Nothobranchius furzeri: one gene and its partner. The protein of the gene in region 1 purifies or fractionates together with the protein of each later gene. This does not show direct contact. Links are inferred from orthologs where the notes say so. Each region holds a gene or a part of one and is shown on either strand. Other genes may lie near its edges.

Region 1 (6,598 bases):
GAACGAGATGTGAGCTGCATCAGCTTCAGACGGCAGGATTTGGAGTCTTATTTCCTAGATGCTTTCTCTGCCTGGAGGAGTTCTGCAGTGTGGTGGAGTTACTGATGCTAATGGTTAGCTTCTACTAGCCGAGACTGATATTCTAAGGCTGTGTCTCAATTCAGGGTCTGCATCCTAAATCGGCCGGATTCGTCGGCCGGTTACGTCACAGCGCCGCGACTCGGCCTGTCCCAATTCGAAGACTCCTTCAAATGCGGTCGACGAATGCGGCCTTCTTTTCGCCTGAATGAAGGATGGGTCCGGTGTATCCTTCAACAGGTAGCATTTCCCAAGATGCCTTGCGGGCCGGCCGGCAGAAAAACTTAAAAACAATGGCGGACAGTGAAGCGGGAGCTGTCGGAGAGGATTGCGCATATAAATGTCAGTATAAACTTGAAAACTGTTAGGTTAAGGACTTTTTGTGATACATGAACGTTATTTTAGTTAGAAATGTTACAGTAAAAGTGCTTGTATTGCGGTCTCGGCTCATATGTTCGGCCGCGCTCGGTGTCGTACTTCTCCCGCTACGTTTTCCCCCTGATTTTAATAGAAGTTTGTATTTTAGGAACAAAAGAGAAAACCAGGGAATTTATTAAGCTTAGGGCGGAGATGGACCACATGATCACCGGAGCAAAGTATTCGGCGGCTGTGGCATGGAGGTACAATAACATCTCATATTTTAAAAACTCGTTTGAGTTTATTTTTTCTGCGAAAACAAGAAAGGAATAACCCGTTGTCCTCTTTTCTCTTCCTGTTTCTTTTCTTACATGTTTGTTAAGACTATTCTGGAGAAAATGGGCATCCAGGGGAAGGTGCCAGCGATGACCAGCTTCTGGAGCTGATCAGGGAGGACATGAGGCTGCAGATGGAGGCAGAGCAGCAGAGGGCACAGGAGAGAAGGGAGAACTTTGACAACTTTTTACTTTGCTAGAAAAAAATGGTTAATAAAGATTAAACATGTACATATAAAAGAAATATCTAAATAAAATCAGTTCTGCATTAAACTCTTGAATTTTATTTTTGTTTACAAATGAGAATTGTTCAATATTACCGGGTATCCGCTGGGTCTTAAAGTCTTAAAAGGTGATAAATTGGTTTTGGTCAAATTAAGACCCTTAGAAAGTATTAAAAACTATTATCACATCTTTGCTCAGGCTCAGCTTGTCTAAAGTATTTTCTCTGAATTAGCTCTCCAACAGTCAAGGAAATGATTAACCCCCAGAGACCCACGGTTGTAATATTACAACATCAGATTTAAGTCTACAAGAATAAACCTTCCCCATTTTTTTTCTTTTTTAAAACTACATTTACATTGCTAATAGGTCCTATTGTTCAGTTCTGCAACACTATTGGCTGTTAAAATGTGTAAATAGGCCCGTTTATCTGGCCTCCTAGAACAACATGTGAAAGGTTAAAAAAAGATTTTGCAGTTGTTTTCTAAATTTGGGTTTCTGGGGGTTAAAAAGCTAAATAAAACGTCGAGCTCCATCGTTTAAAGTTCCTTCTCCCTTCTGCCCAGCGGTTCCACGGTTGCTAGGCGACGGAACGTTCGCGGAGGGAGTTCATGAAGGCTAGGCCTGTCCAAATTCACAGCCGTTAACATCCGGTCTACCCGGCCGACGGAGGACCCAGCCCACGTCGGCCGAGTGGGCTGGGTCCTTCGAAGGATGCAGACCCTGAATTGAGACACAGCCGTTGTTGATTCCTGGATGCTAAAACAACAGCCTTCGCCGTCGCAAGCCAAGATTGGATCTGTCAGTGTTTTTAAATCCTAAGGTTTTACCAGCTATTTTCTGTCAGAAGCTAATGCAGGAGATACCGTAAGCAGCTGGAATCAGCTTCCTCAATAGGGCGGCCATGTTTGGCCTTCAGTGAGAAGCTGAGGAATGTTAGAGCCGCTGCTCCTCCTGATCAAATGGAGTAATCAGAGATGGTTCGGGCGTCTGACCAGTAACCGGACTCTGGAGGTTTGCCAGACACAACGACTTTTTAACAAAAATAAAACTGATTGTTTTTGTGGAGCCGAGTAAAACTGACTGAAAATATATCAAATTAACTCAAAATAATTCTACTTTAATACTATTTACCTTTTATCAGCATTTTGCCTCTCATCCTAGAGGTTTCTTCAGTTCCCATACTTTGGTTGTGGTCAGAAACAAAAACACTGATCAGCAGAAGCTCCGGAGGGGGAGCGGGTTGTCCAGCAATCGGAAAGTTGCTGGTTCAATCCCGGCTCCGACCAAATAATGCTGCTGTTGTGTCCTTGGGCTAGACACTTAACCCTCCTCGCCTGCTGGTGGTGGTCAGAGGGGCCAGTGGTGCCAGTGTTCGAAGGTCTCGCCTTGGTCAGTGCGCCCCAGCGCAGCTGTGGCTACACTGTAGCTAATCACCACCACCAGCGTGTGAATGGATGAATGACTGATTGTGTTGTGAAGCACTTTGGGGGGTTGTTGAGCCCCAAGAAGGCGGTATACAAATACAAATTGACCATTTCCTTCTTTCTTGCTGGCTTTTGTCTAAACGAAGGTGATGTTATTGTTCATAGAGTTAAAATTCATGTTGAAGTTCAGATTATTTCATCAATAAGATGTGTGGTTAGCTCGCTCATTTAATACATGAAATGTTTTTGGATCCTGCCTCTTGAAAGAACCGTAATCGTGAACGGATAGTAACCGGAATCGAAACAAGGAACTGGAATCGGAATCGTTCAAATATCCATGAGTAAAGATTTGGTCCTTTTTTCAATAAACTAGGTTAATTTAAAGAGAAAATCCCAACAGTAACTTAAAATGGTCTTGTTTTGATAATAAATAATCGATAATTATTTTGGATAATTAAAAATCTCCAGTTTGTTTAACAGAATTAAAACCTTGCTGCATCATCCTACTGTGAACTGTTCATAATATTATAATAATTATGAATTGCTTAGCCTTACGTGACTTCCTTATGTAATTTACCATCAGCAGTATATTCTGGCTTCCTCTTAAATGCTTTGTTAGAACAGAGTGCAACAGACTGAGACCGGGATCTAATCTCAGATTAAAAATCTCTGAGCGAGAAAAGCTTTCAAACAAACTGTGACCATGCTCTGAAGACCTGACCTCCACGGTCCCACAGAGCTGCTGCAGAGGGAGCTTTAGATGACCACAAAAACAATCGCACACGCCATTAAAGCAGCATCCCAGTGGCTATAACTCCACAGCACAGCCAAACCGCCTCAGACTAGTCGAGACGAGCTTCTCAGCCAACAGACAGTAGTTCTTAATGAAAGCTGCAGACTGAAGAGCTGCTGCAGCGACGACGGCGCTCTCCTTCTGATCCGTCTGGTGCATCGCATTCTCGGCTATTAGATTTGCCTTGATTCAGCTCTTCAATAAGCTCTGTGTGCAATAAAAGTGACAAATGCAAGTTCTGTCCATGTGTTTTAAACAAATGTGTCACAGCGGCGAAAGTTATTTACTTTCTTCCGTTCCATCCGTCGATAACAGCTCGTTATCTCACTGGCTGGGCTTTAAATGTTCCAGGCTGGACTGAAACTAAACATGAGTAATGAATTAGACTGATTTTAACTTAATGAAAATTACAGCTGCAGTAAAGGAGCTGCGGTGGACTGGCTCTCTATCCAGGGTGTACCCCCCCCCCCCCCCCCCCCCCCCCCCCCGCGCGACCCTACGTAGACAAAGCAGGTTCAGACAATGGATGGATGCAGTAACAGAGTTTTTATTTGTGTTTTTGCTTCCTACCAGCTTTAGCTTCTCTTTCTTTCTTTTCCCAGGGGCCGACCCCGAGGAGCTGGGGCCAGACTCCTGACCGACCGTGTTACCGTCATCGTCCCCTTCGTCCTCGTCGCCGTCGTCAAAGCACCACTCGGGCAGTTCAGGTGCAGGGGGTGTGTCCTCCACATCACCATAGCGACAGAAAAGCTCTTTGAGGTAGTCCCCCTTATAGATCCCAGGGGCCCGTGCCTGGGCGAAAGCAGCTACAGCTGCCTCCACGCTGATAAGGAAAGGCAGAACAGAGAGGAACATTTACTGTAGACAAAAGAAATACTGACATCATATGTTTGGTGGTTTTAGCTGGGACATGCCTAATAATAATAAAAATTAACTAATCCAAATTAAATATAGAAATTTCTTCATTTCCTTTATGCTTTTATATTTTGCTGAAGGCTCTGGATCATTGTCGGTCAACACCTCACAATTAACTCTTTTATTTGACTCATTGGGAGTCAGGTATTTTCTTACGACTGCTCATCATTTTGAAGTTGTTTGAGAGTAAAATAAGATTTCCAATCTCAGTCATCCGCCAAGAAGGGCTTTAACATGCAGCTGAATCATAAAATCATATTAAAGTGTACGTTTGTGAATATTTTAATGGATCAAACCAGACGAGATTCTTTACCTTTTGTTTGAAACGGTCTGCTAGTGTGCTGTAAAATAATCCTGCATTAGCTATGCTCCTCATCACCTGTTTAGGTCTGACGGTGTCCCATCTGTTGCACCGATCTCCACCGCATCGACGACATTTCAACTATAATATCCTTTTGAAAATGAAATGTGCTTTCCTTACGGAAAATAAAAGCATGTTTGCCATGTGCCTGAGCCACGGCTGTTGTGGACAAGCTAATCCTGGAAGCCGTTAGGGAATTACTGCAACATAGTTAGGGCAATAATACTTACAGAAGATCATTTTACGGCAAAAAGCAAAAATGACAAAGCAGAAGGCTTTCCTAAAAAATAAATAAATAAAGATGTGTTCTCTCCGACTGAACGGCTTCACCACAAACTGAAGTCACCATCTGGTCGGTTCATCTGACTGGTTCATGCTGGACTGACAGACGACAGCAGACTCATCGTGTCAGCAGTCAACGTCTTCTCTCTTCCTTTAGCCAGCGGCTTCCAAACACGACCTTCTGTGCAGCCAAACATCTGGTGCATCAGGTTTGCCCCTGCTATTTCTCTAACGGATATCATTTTGTTTTTGCAGCCTGAGGACGGAGTGCTTCATCTGAACACAGCTCTTTAAACCACATGCTCTCTGTGAAAATGCTTCTACATGCAGATGACACGCTTAAACTTCAGGGACCAGATGCAGAAAACGAATCATTTCTACAGAATGGTGAAGACTTTAAAGGGGTCCTAGAACTCTAAACTACATTTACCTTGTTGTTGTTGAACATAGGCAGCTTGAGGTGTCTAAAGTAGCACACCAGAAAGTCTCTGACCAGCTTTACTACGCAAACTGACAATGGTGTAATGGCTGCTGAGAAACTGTTTGTTCGGAGAAAAGCTGGATTAGCATGTCGTCAGCATAGATACACACCCTTAAATCTGCACGCCCCAAACCCACTTCAGTGTCTGCAATATAGAAATGTTGGTGACAGTAACGCTCGCAGCCGTACGCTAGCCCCAGCTACTGCTAACGTCCTCGTTGGAAAAGAGGAAAACTACTAACTACTACTACGGCTCTGCCGGAAAATATACTAATGTTTTTTTGTAAAGAGGGAAAGTAAATATGATTTAAGAGGTGTATGTATGTTTGTTCTACAAAAAGCCAAAAATGGCATGAAAAGGAGATGTATCTCTGTAATGGGAGTAAAATTTTGGAATGAGGCTAAAATAGAATTAAAATTAGCAACTTCTCTTTCAGTTCTTAAAAAACTTATCAGTAAAAATATTTTTGAAGAGTATTAATTTGATGTTGATGGATGGATTTGCGTTTTAGTTTTATTTGGGTTGTTGGTTCATTGCGGGAAATTGAAAAATTGTTTTGTAAGTAGGTTAGGCAATTATATAAGCCCAAACCGATTCAGTCATGAGATACCAAATAGACACCACATACAAATGAATGCATATGTTAGTGAGAAATGGTATTTGTATCTATTTGTATGACAAGTTATTGTACACATTATCTTAAGATGACTGACTGAATAAATTGATCATTCATTCTTTCACTAAGAAGGTTGAAGCACACAAGTAATGTTCCAGGATGAATTGGGAATGTCTAGACTTTGAATGAATGCCAGACAGCTCCATAGCTTGCCTGTTGAATAGTCTGGATACATTACACAGCACAGAGTTTCTAGATTCAGGCATCATAGGCGTAAATCAGCTAATCAGCACGCGTCTCATTTAATAATGGTGCCCTGGCCTAGTGGGCACGGTGAACCAGTCATTGCCTTGTAAGGCTTTATAGGGCAAACGTTGTACCGATCTCTCGTTGTGAAGAGCGAGCTGGGCCAGAAGGAGAAGCTCTCAATTTACCGGTCGATCTACGCTCCTACCCTCTTCTATGGTCACGAGCTTTGGGTAACGACCAACAGAATGATATCACGGATACAAGCGGCCAAAATGAGTTTTCTATGCAGGGTGGCTGTATTGCTGAGGTGGCTCGGGCATCTGGTCAGGATGCCTCGTGTCTCGTCTGGCCAGGGAACGCCTTGGGATTCCCCCTGGAGGAGCTGGCCAAAGCGGCTGGGGAAAGGGAAGTCTGGGCTCCCTATCCATTTACAAAATGTAAACACATGTATCAAGACTCTGTGGGAGAGTTTGTTTTCAAA
Region 2 (6,598 bases), on another chromosome or scaffold:
AACCCAAATCCTCGGATCACGCATTTTAGCTAAAACGCTAACGCTAGCTTGCCTTGCGTTGACTGTAGAGTTGTGGGTGATGGTCACGCAGATGTGTCATGAGATTTGAAGCGTTGCTGCCTTTCACAGACACTTTTTCTGCTCGTGCTGCAAACAGGATAGCCGTCTTCTATCAGCTGTCCCTCGGCATTCTTCAAATATCTAAAACATGCCCGTACTTCCCCCTTTGTCTTCTTTGAGGGATAATAAATGTCCTGAGCGCTGCCGTCTCCTCCTTTGGCCATTATTTCAGCTTTAGCTTCAAGAAAGTTTTGGTTGTAAACAACAAAGTGCGCATGTGCCGCCGGCAACTTCAGCAGATGATACGGTGGCTGGTAAGGGTCACCGCGCCTACACCGCAGCCACGCTAATCCACCGAGATAATATAGATTTAAAAAACAAGACGGTTATTATTATTGTCAAGTTTTTTACCGGGGTTTACCGCTACACCGGTTACCGTGACAACCCTAGCTCACACCATTGTGCTGTCATTACTCCGCACACATGGTCCCAGCAGGCTGCAGAGGAGGAGCTAAAGGTGAAGCGGCACTGAAAGGCAGAAGTAGATCACGCAGTTTTCACAGAAATGGTCCGATGATGACGGGAATGTCGCTGGTTTGAGGCGTGAAACCTGAAGTTTAGGATATTAATGTAAATCGTTCATGTTAACCTCCAAGTTGAAGGTGTTTTCCATCTGTCTTGTCCGTTCTCTAGTTAGTTCTGGCAAGAATTTAATATTTTTGTAATGTTCTGACTGTAAATAAAGGTTTGTCAAAAAAAAACTAAATAAAAAAAACCTGAAGTTTAACCTAAAAGTCCCAGAATTTCTCAGCAGCTCTTGAGCGTTTGGACCAGAGGCAACTGAGGTATCCTCTGCTAGCGATGGTTTTACCGGTTACCGTGGCAACGCGTCCCTCTGTTAGTCCTGCTGTAATAAAATGGAGTCCTATAGAAGCTTTAGTTGGTGGATCAGACAGGAGGAGCTGCTGTGGGAGTTATGAGCCTCCAGAGAAACCAGATCTGTTCAGCGTCCTCCTGGTGAGAGGGAACCGGTCCGTTAGTTTCACCCCAGCATGTTCTGATTGTGTGTGTGTGTGTGTGTGTGTGTGTGTGTGTGTGTGTGTGTGTGTGTGTGTGTGTGTGTGTGTGTGTGTGTGTGTGTGTGTGTGTGTGTGTGTGTGTGTGTGTGTGTGTGTGTGTGTGTGTGTGTGTGTGTGTGTGTGTGTGTGTGTGTGTGTTGGCTCCCAGAGACTCCAGAGAAGAGGCGCTGGGTGAATACTACATGAGGAAATACGCCAAACCTCCAGCGGGAGAACAGTGAGTCGAACACCCGTTTCTGTTTTGTCCTCTGACTGAAGTCGGACCGGCTTATCGAAGCTTCTTCAGCTGAAATCTTCCATCTTGATGCTGACATCACTTCATGAAAGATGAAAGCTCAGCAGTTCTGGGTTATTTTATTATTTTGGAGTTGTCTAAAATCACGATATATTGAGGATTTCACCTCGATAACGATGAGTGGACGATAACCACAGATATGCGCAGAAACAAAAGCTGTCCACTAGATGGGGCTGTCACGTGTGTTTTGGTACGGCTTCTTAAAGAGCAAGTCACCCCCAAATCAACTTTTTTTTTTGCTGATAAACTATAAACGAGTGTCTAATCGTGCAGTAGACACGTGTATTCAATAATTTGGCACTTCAGTGCGTCTTAGTTCAAATTTAAATATTCTCCCTAAAACTGTCAGTGTTGTGCCGTCGTCAGGGAAAAGTTCTGCACTGTATTTGAATTTGGATCTGCTACGCTATTGGCTAAGAGGTACACTATGATGTCAGCTGATACATTATGATGTCACAATGTCGTTGTCTGCCTGTGAGTGTGTATTTGTTAGCGGCTTCGCCCTCTCGGTCTACCAGGCAACAGCATTTGTTGCATTTTTCAAACAGGAAGTGGGAGTGGAGTAAGTTTCTTGTAGGGGGTGACTTGCTCTTTAAAGAGACACGAGTGTTTCCGAGCTAAACGCATCTTTTCAGTTTCAAATTCATCTACATGGAAAAAATGATCTCGATCAGAGTCAGAAATTTCCATAAGGATACATTTCCATTCATTGTCCAGCCTTACTTTGGACTTTTTATTTCTTCTTCTGTGGTCTATAGTTACTCCGGAGGCTCTGGGGAGCTCTCTGATGACATCACACAGCAGCAACTACTTCCTGGTGTCAAGTATGTATACAGTTCCCCGCCAATTAGCATCCAGACATCTGCTGATGTCACAGGGAGGTCATTTAATCTGTTTTCTGTCACCCTTTCACCAGGGACCCTAATCTGTGGACGGTCAAGTGTAAGGTGTGTAACAGCACACACCCACGCTCACTCGCACACACACACACTTAACCATGACCTGTGTGTACAGATTGGAGAGGAGAGGGCGACGGCCATCGCTCTGATGAGGAAGTTCATCGCCTACCAGTTCACCGACACGGTAAGCGTTCAGTCTCTGGAGGGTGGGTGTGTTGGAGCTGTGATGTCACACGCTCTTAGCACCTGCAGGTGCTTACCTGTTCCGGTTTCCACCCACAGCCTCTCCAAATCAAGTCGGTGGTGGCGCCCGACCACGTGAAAGGCTACATCTACGTGGAGTCGTACAAGCAGACGCACGTGAAAGCCGCCATCGAGGGCATCGGGAACCTGAGGATGGGCTTCTGGAACCAGCAGATGGTTCCCATCAAGGAGATGACGGATGTGCTGAAGGTGGTGAAAGAAGTCACCAACCTGAAGCCCAAGTCCTGGGTCCGACTCAAGAGAGGCCTGTACAAGGACGACATCGCTCAGGTAGCGACCCGTGACACGGCCCGGGGAGGCTCTAGCTGAACTTTGGCCTCAGTAGCTGGCGTTTGTTTACCCAGGTGGACTACGTGGAGCCGAGTCAGAACACCATCTCCCTGAAGATGATTCCTCGGATAGATCTGGACCGGATCAAGGCCAAAATGACTCTGGTAGGAGGAGGATTCCAGGATGGTTCATCTGCAGGAACAGGAACTAGCCACTGACCTTCTGTTGCTTTGTGCTCGCAGAAAGATTGGTTTGCTAAGAGGAAGAAGTTCAAGAGACCTTCTCAGAGGTTATTTGACGCAGAGAAGATCAGGTAGAGGCTGAGACGTTTCTGCTGGTGGAGCTTTGAGCTGGTGGGTGTGAGAGTCTGAAGGTTGTGGTGATGTGTGTTAGGTCTCTGGGCGGGGAGGTCAGCCATGACGGAGACTTCATGATCTTTGAGGGGAACCGTTACAGTCGCAAAGGGTTCCTGTTCAAGAGCTTCGCCATGTCTGCTGTGGTGAGAAAACGCACCTTAGGTCTAGAACCAGGCCCAGGTTTAGGGTTCTGGTTCTCAGCAGCTGGTTCTGGTTGGTTCCTGACAGATCACAGACGGTGTGAAGCCCACGCTGTCTGAGCTGGAGAAGTTCGAGGATCAGCCAGAAGGAATCGATCTGGAGGTGGTGACGGAGTCAGGTAGGCTGTTCCTCTCTGACCCAAACCAGGACCCGGCACCGTCTGGGTTCAGATGAGACCTCTTAGGCTGTTTAACCAATCAGATCATTGCATGATGAAATCACCGTCACGTGGTTCACGCTAGAGCGCGTTTCCCCAAGTTCATGTTCTAGCTATTAATTCTGCAAAATGTCGTGTGCGTGTGTGTGTGTGTGTGCGTGTGTGTGTGTGCGCAGGTAAGGAGCGCGAACACAATCTGCAGGCCGGTGACAACGTGGAAGTGTGTGAGGGGGAGTTAATCAACCTGCAGGGAAAAATCCTGAGTGTCGACGGCAACAAGATCACCATCATGCCCAAACACGAAGACCTGAAGGTACACACACACACACACACACACACACACACACACACACACACACACACACACACACACACACACCCCCACACACACACACCATCAGCTGGTGGAAAAGCTGCTGAACCTTTACATCACGTACACAGTTCTCTGGAATGTGTGTGTGTGTGTGTGTGTGTGTGTGTGTGTGTGTGTGTGTGTGTGTGTTCTCTCTTGCAGGACCCTCTGGAGTTCCCAGCGAGCGAGCTGAGGAAGTATTTCCGGATGGGCGACCACGTGAAGGTGATCGCTGGACGATACGAGGGCGACACGGGTCTGATCGTCAGGGTGGAGGAGAACTTCGTCATCCTTTTTTCGGACCTCACCATGCACGAGGTAGAACCTCTCGTCCAGACCCGTCGCCGTACGTCATGCTTGTCCTAATGTCTCCCGTGCCTCTGCCCTGTCCAGCTGAAGGTTCTACCCAGAGACTTGCAGCTCTGCTCCGAGACGGCGTCCGGTGTGGACGTGGGGGGGCAGCACGAGTGGGGGGAGCTGGTCCAGCTGGATCCACAGACGGTTGGGGTCATAGTCCGACTGGAGCGAGAGACATTCCAGGTATTAGCCCAGCCCTGAGCTGACTGGAACACCGGCGGCTGCGTGGATCTAAGGTCTTCTTGTGTCGCAGGTTCTGAACATGCACGGGAAGGTTCTGACAGTTCGCCACCAGGCGGTCAACCGCAGGAAGGACAACCGGTTCGCTGTGGCGCTGGACTCCGAGCAGAACAACATCCACGTCAAAGACATCGTCAAAGTCATCGACGGGCCGCACTCGGTGAGAATGAGCTGGGTTTGTCTGCTGCGTTAGATGAAGTTTGTCCTCGAGGAACAACAAACCTGATGTCCTTCAGCACCCTGAGGCTCCGCCCACCTCCATGTGGTCCTGATCTGCTTGAGTCCAAACCTCAGATCGGTCCACCGGTTTTTCCGCTGACGTGCGGATGTTTGTCGTCCTCAGGGCCGTGAAGGTGAGATCCGCCACCTGTTCAGAGGCTTCGCCTTCCTTCATTGCAAGAAGCTGGTGGAGAACGGCGGCATGTTCGTGTGCAAGACCCGACACCTGGTTCTGGCCGGCGGCTCCAAGGTGACTTCTGGGTCTGGAGACACGACCATGACTATGCATCTGATTATGTATTTAGTAACAAAACTAATCCGATGTTTCGCGGTTATTCATCTGTTTTCTCAGAACCCGGGTCCGTATGGTCTCTGGGTCTGGTTCTGGTCCACTTTACTGAAACCATTTCATGTCTGTTTTCAGCCGAGAGATGTGACCAACTTCACGGTGGGAGGATTTGCTCCAATGAGCCCCCGCATCAGCAGCCCCATGCACCACGGCGGAGGGGGTGGGTGTGTGGAACCAGAACAGAACCAGAACCATGTATACTGCTGGGAAAGCCCAGCTGACTGAGTTTTCCTTAAATGGAGAATTAAAAAAATATCTTTGGATCCTCGTGAGACTTCTGGGTCCAAACGGACCAGAACTTTTGGCTCTGGAACCGGGAGTTATATTTAAACGTTGGAGCGGGTCCGGCTATTTCCTGGGTCGTGTTTGAAACCTTTCAGCCAGGAATTTAAAGTTCCTGTTTACAGAAGAGCTCCTAATGAGGTTCTAGGTAGGAGTTCATGTTGGATGTTTGTAGAACCCGGAGTGCTTCCGTCCTTCACCGGTCCTGTGTGGGACGTCTCAGAGCAGATGGGACGTGTGGTCGTGTCTTCATGTTTATGTTTATGTATTTAGCAGACGCTTTTGTCCAAAGCGACTTACAAGTGATAATCGGCATGTTGCCCTTGAGGCTAACAACAACAATAACAACAACAACAACTTGACATCAGTCATGGAGAGTAGGGAACAAGGAGTGGACAGTAGAGAGGGGGACGGGTGCAGGGAGGGTGCTAGTTTAGAAGATGCTCTCTGAAGAGCAGGGTCTTCAGGAGTTTCTTGAAAATTGAAAAGGAAGCCCCTGTTCTGGTAGTGCTTGGAAGGTCATTCCACATTTGTGGAACGATGCATGAGAAGAGTCTGGATTGTCCTGAGCGTGGTGTAGGCACTGCTAGCCGACGATCCTGTGATGACCGGAGCGGCCGGGCCGAGACGTAAGCCTTTGCAAGAGGATTCAGGTAGATGGGAGCCGTACCATCTCGGACTTTGTATGCTAGTGTTAGCTATTTGAATTTGATGCGTGCTGCTAGCGGTAGCCAGTGGAGCTCAATGAACAGAGGGGTGACGTGTGCTCTTTTTGGCTGATTGAAGACCAGACGCGCCGCTGCGTTCTGGACCATTTGAAGAGGTCTCACAGTACAGGCTGGAAGACCAGTTAGAAGGGCGTTGCAGTAATTGAGGCGGGAGATGACGGTAGATTGCACCAGGAGCTGGGTGGCATGTTGTGTTAGGTATGGTCTGATCTTTCATATGTTCTACAGCACAAAGCGTCATGAACGAGCAACAGAGGCAACGTGATCTTTAAAGGTCAGGTGTTCATCAATCACAACACCCAAACTGCCTTTGAAGGAGCCAGAGATAGGAAGTCATTTTGGATTGAGATATTGTGCTGTATGGATGGTTTTGCTGGGATGACGAGTAGTTCAGTTTTAGAGAGGTTGAGTTGGAGATGGTGGGATTTCATCCATTTTGATGTGTCAGAGAGACAGTTTGATATTCGTGCAGAGACAGTGTGGTCGTCCG

Evidence for each region. Proteins that work in one complex are often made in the same cells at the same time.
Region 2: the proteins of rngtt (region 1) and supt5h purify together in Homo sapiens (affinity purification with mass spectrometry; 3 studies listed by BioGRID and IntAct, with this or other methods). This does not show direct contact. The link is inferred for Nothobranchius furzeri from reciprocal best matches to the Homo sapiens genes RNGTT and SUPT5H.

What each region holds. Positions count from the first base shown.
Region 1 is NC_091742.1:9,447,258-9,453,855, reverse strand, and holds part of rngtt (mRNA-capping enzyme), read right to left. Parts: intron 4,036-6,598; coding exon 3,783-4,035; intron 944-3,782; exon of another isoform or gene 819-943; intron 699-818; exon of another isoform or gene 605-698; intron 421-604; exon of another isoform or gene 331-420; intron 1-330.
Region 2 is NC_091753.1:56,978,507-56,985,104, forward strand, and holds part of supt5h (transcription elongation factor SPT5), read left to right. Parts: intron 1-1,287; coding exon 1,288-1,356; intron 1,357-2,192; coding exon 2,193-2,258; intron 2,259-2,350; coding exon 2,351-2,381; intron 2,382-2,448; coding exon 2,449-2,517; intron 2,518-2,615; coding exon 2,616-2,867; intron 2,868-2,941; coding exon 2,942-3,031; intron 3,032-3,109; coding exon 3,110-3,180; intron 3,181-3,260; coding exon 3,261-3,366; intron 3,367-3,451; coding exon 3,452-3,542; intron 3,543-3,757; coding exon 3,758-3,894; intron 3,895-4,095; coding exon 4,096-4,251; intron 4,252-4,326; coding exon 4,327-4,473; intron 4,474-4,543; coding exon 4,544-4,690; intron 4,691-4,873; coding exon 4,874-4,999; intron 5,000-5,173; coding exon 5,174-5,258; intron 5,259-6,598. UniProt on the Homo sapiens protein: Component of the DRB sensitivity-inducing factor complex (DSIF complex), which regulates mRNA processing and transcription elongation by RNA polymerase II.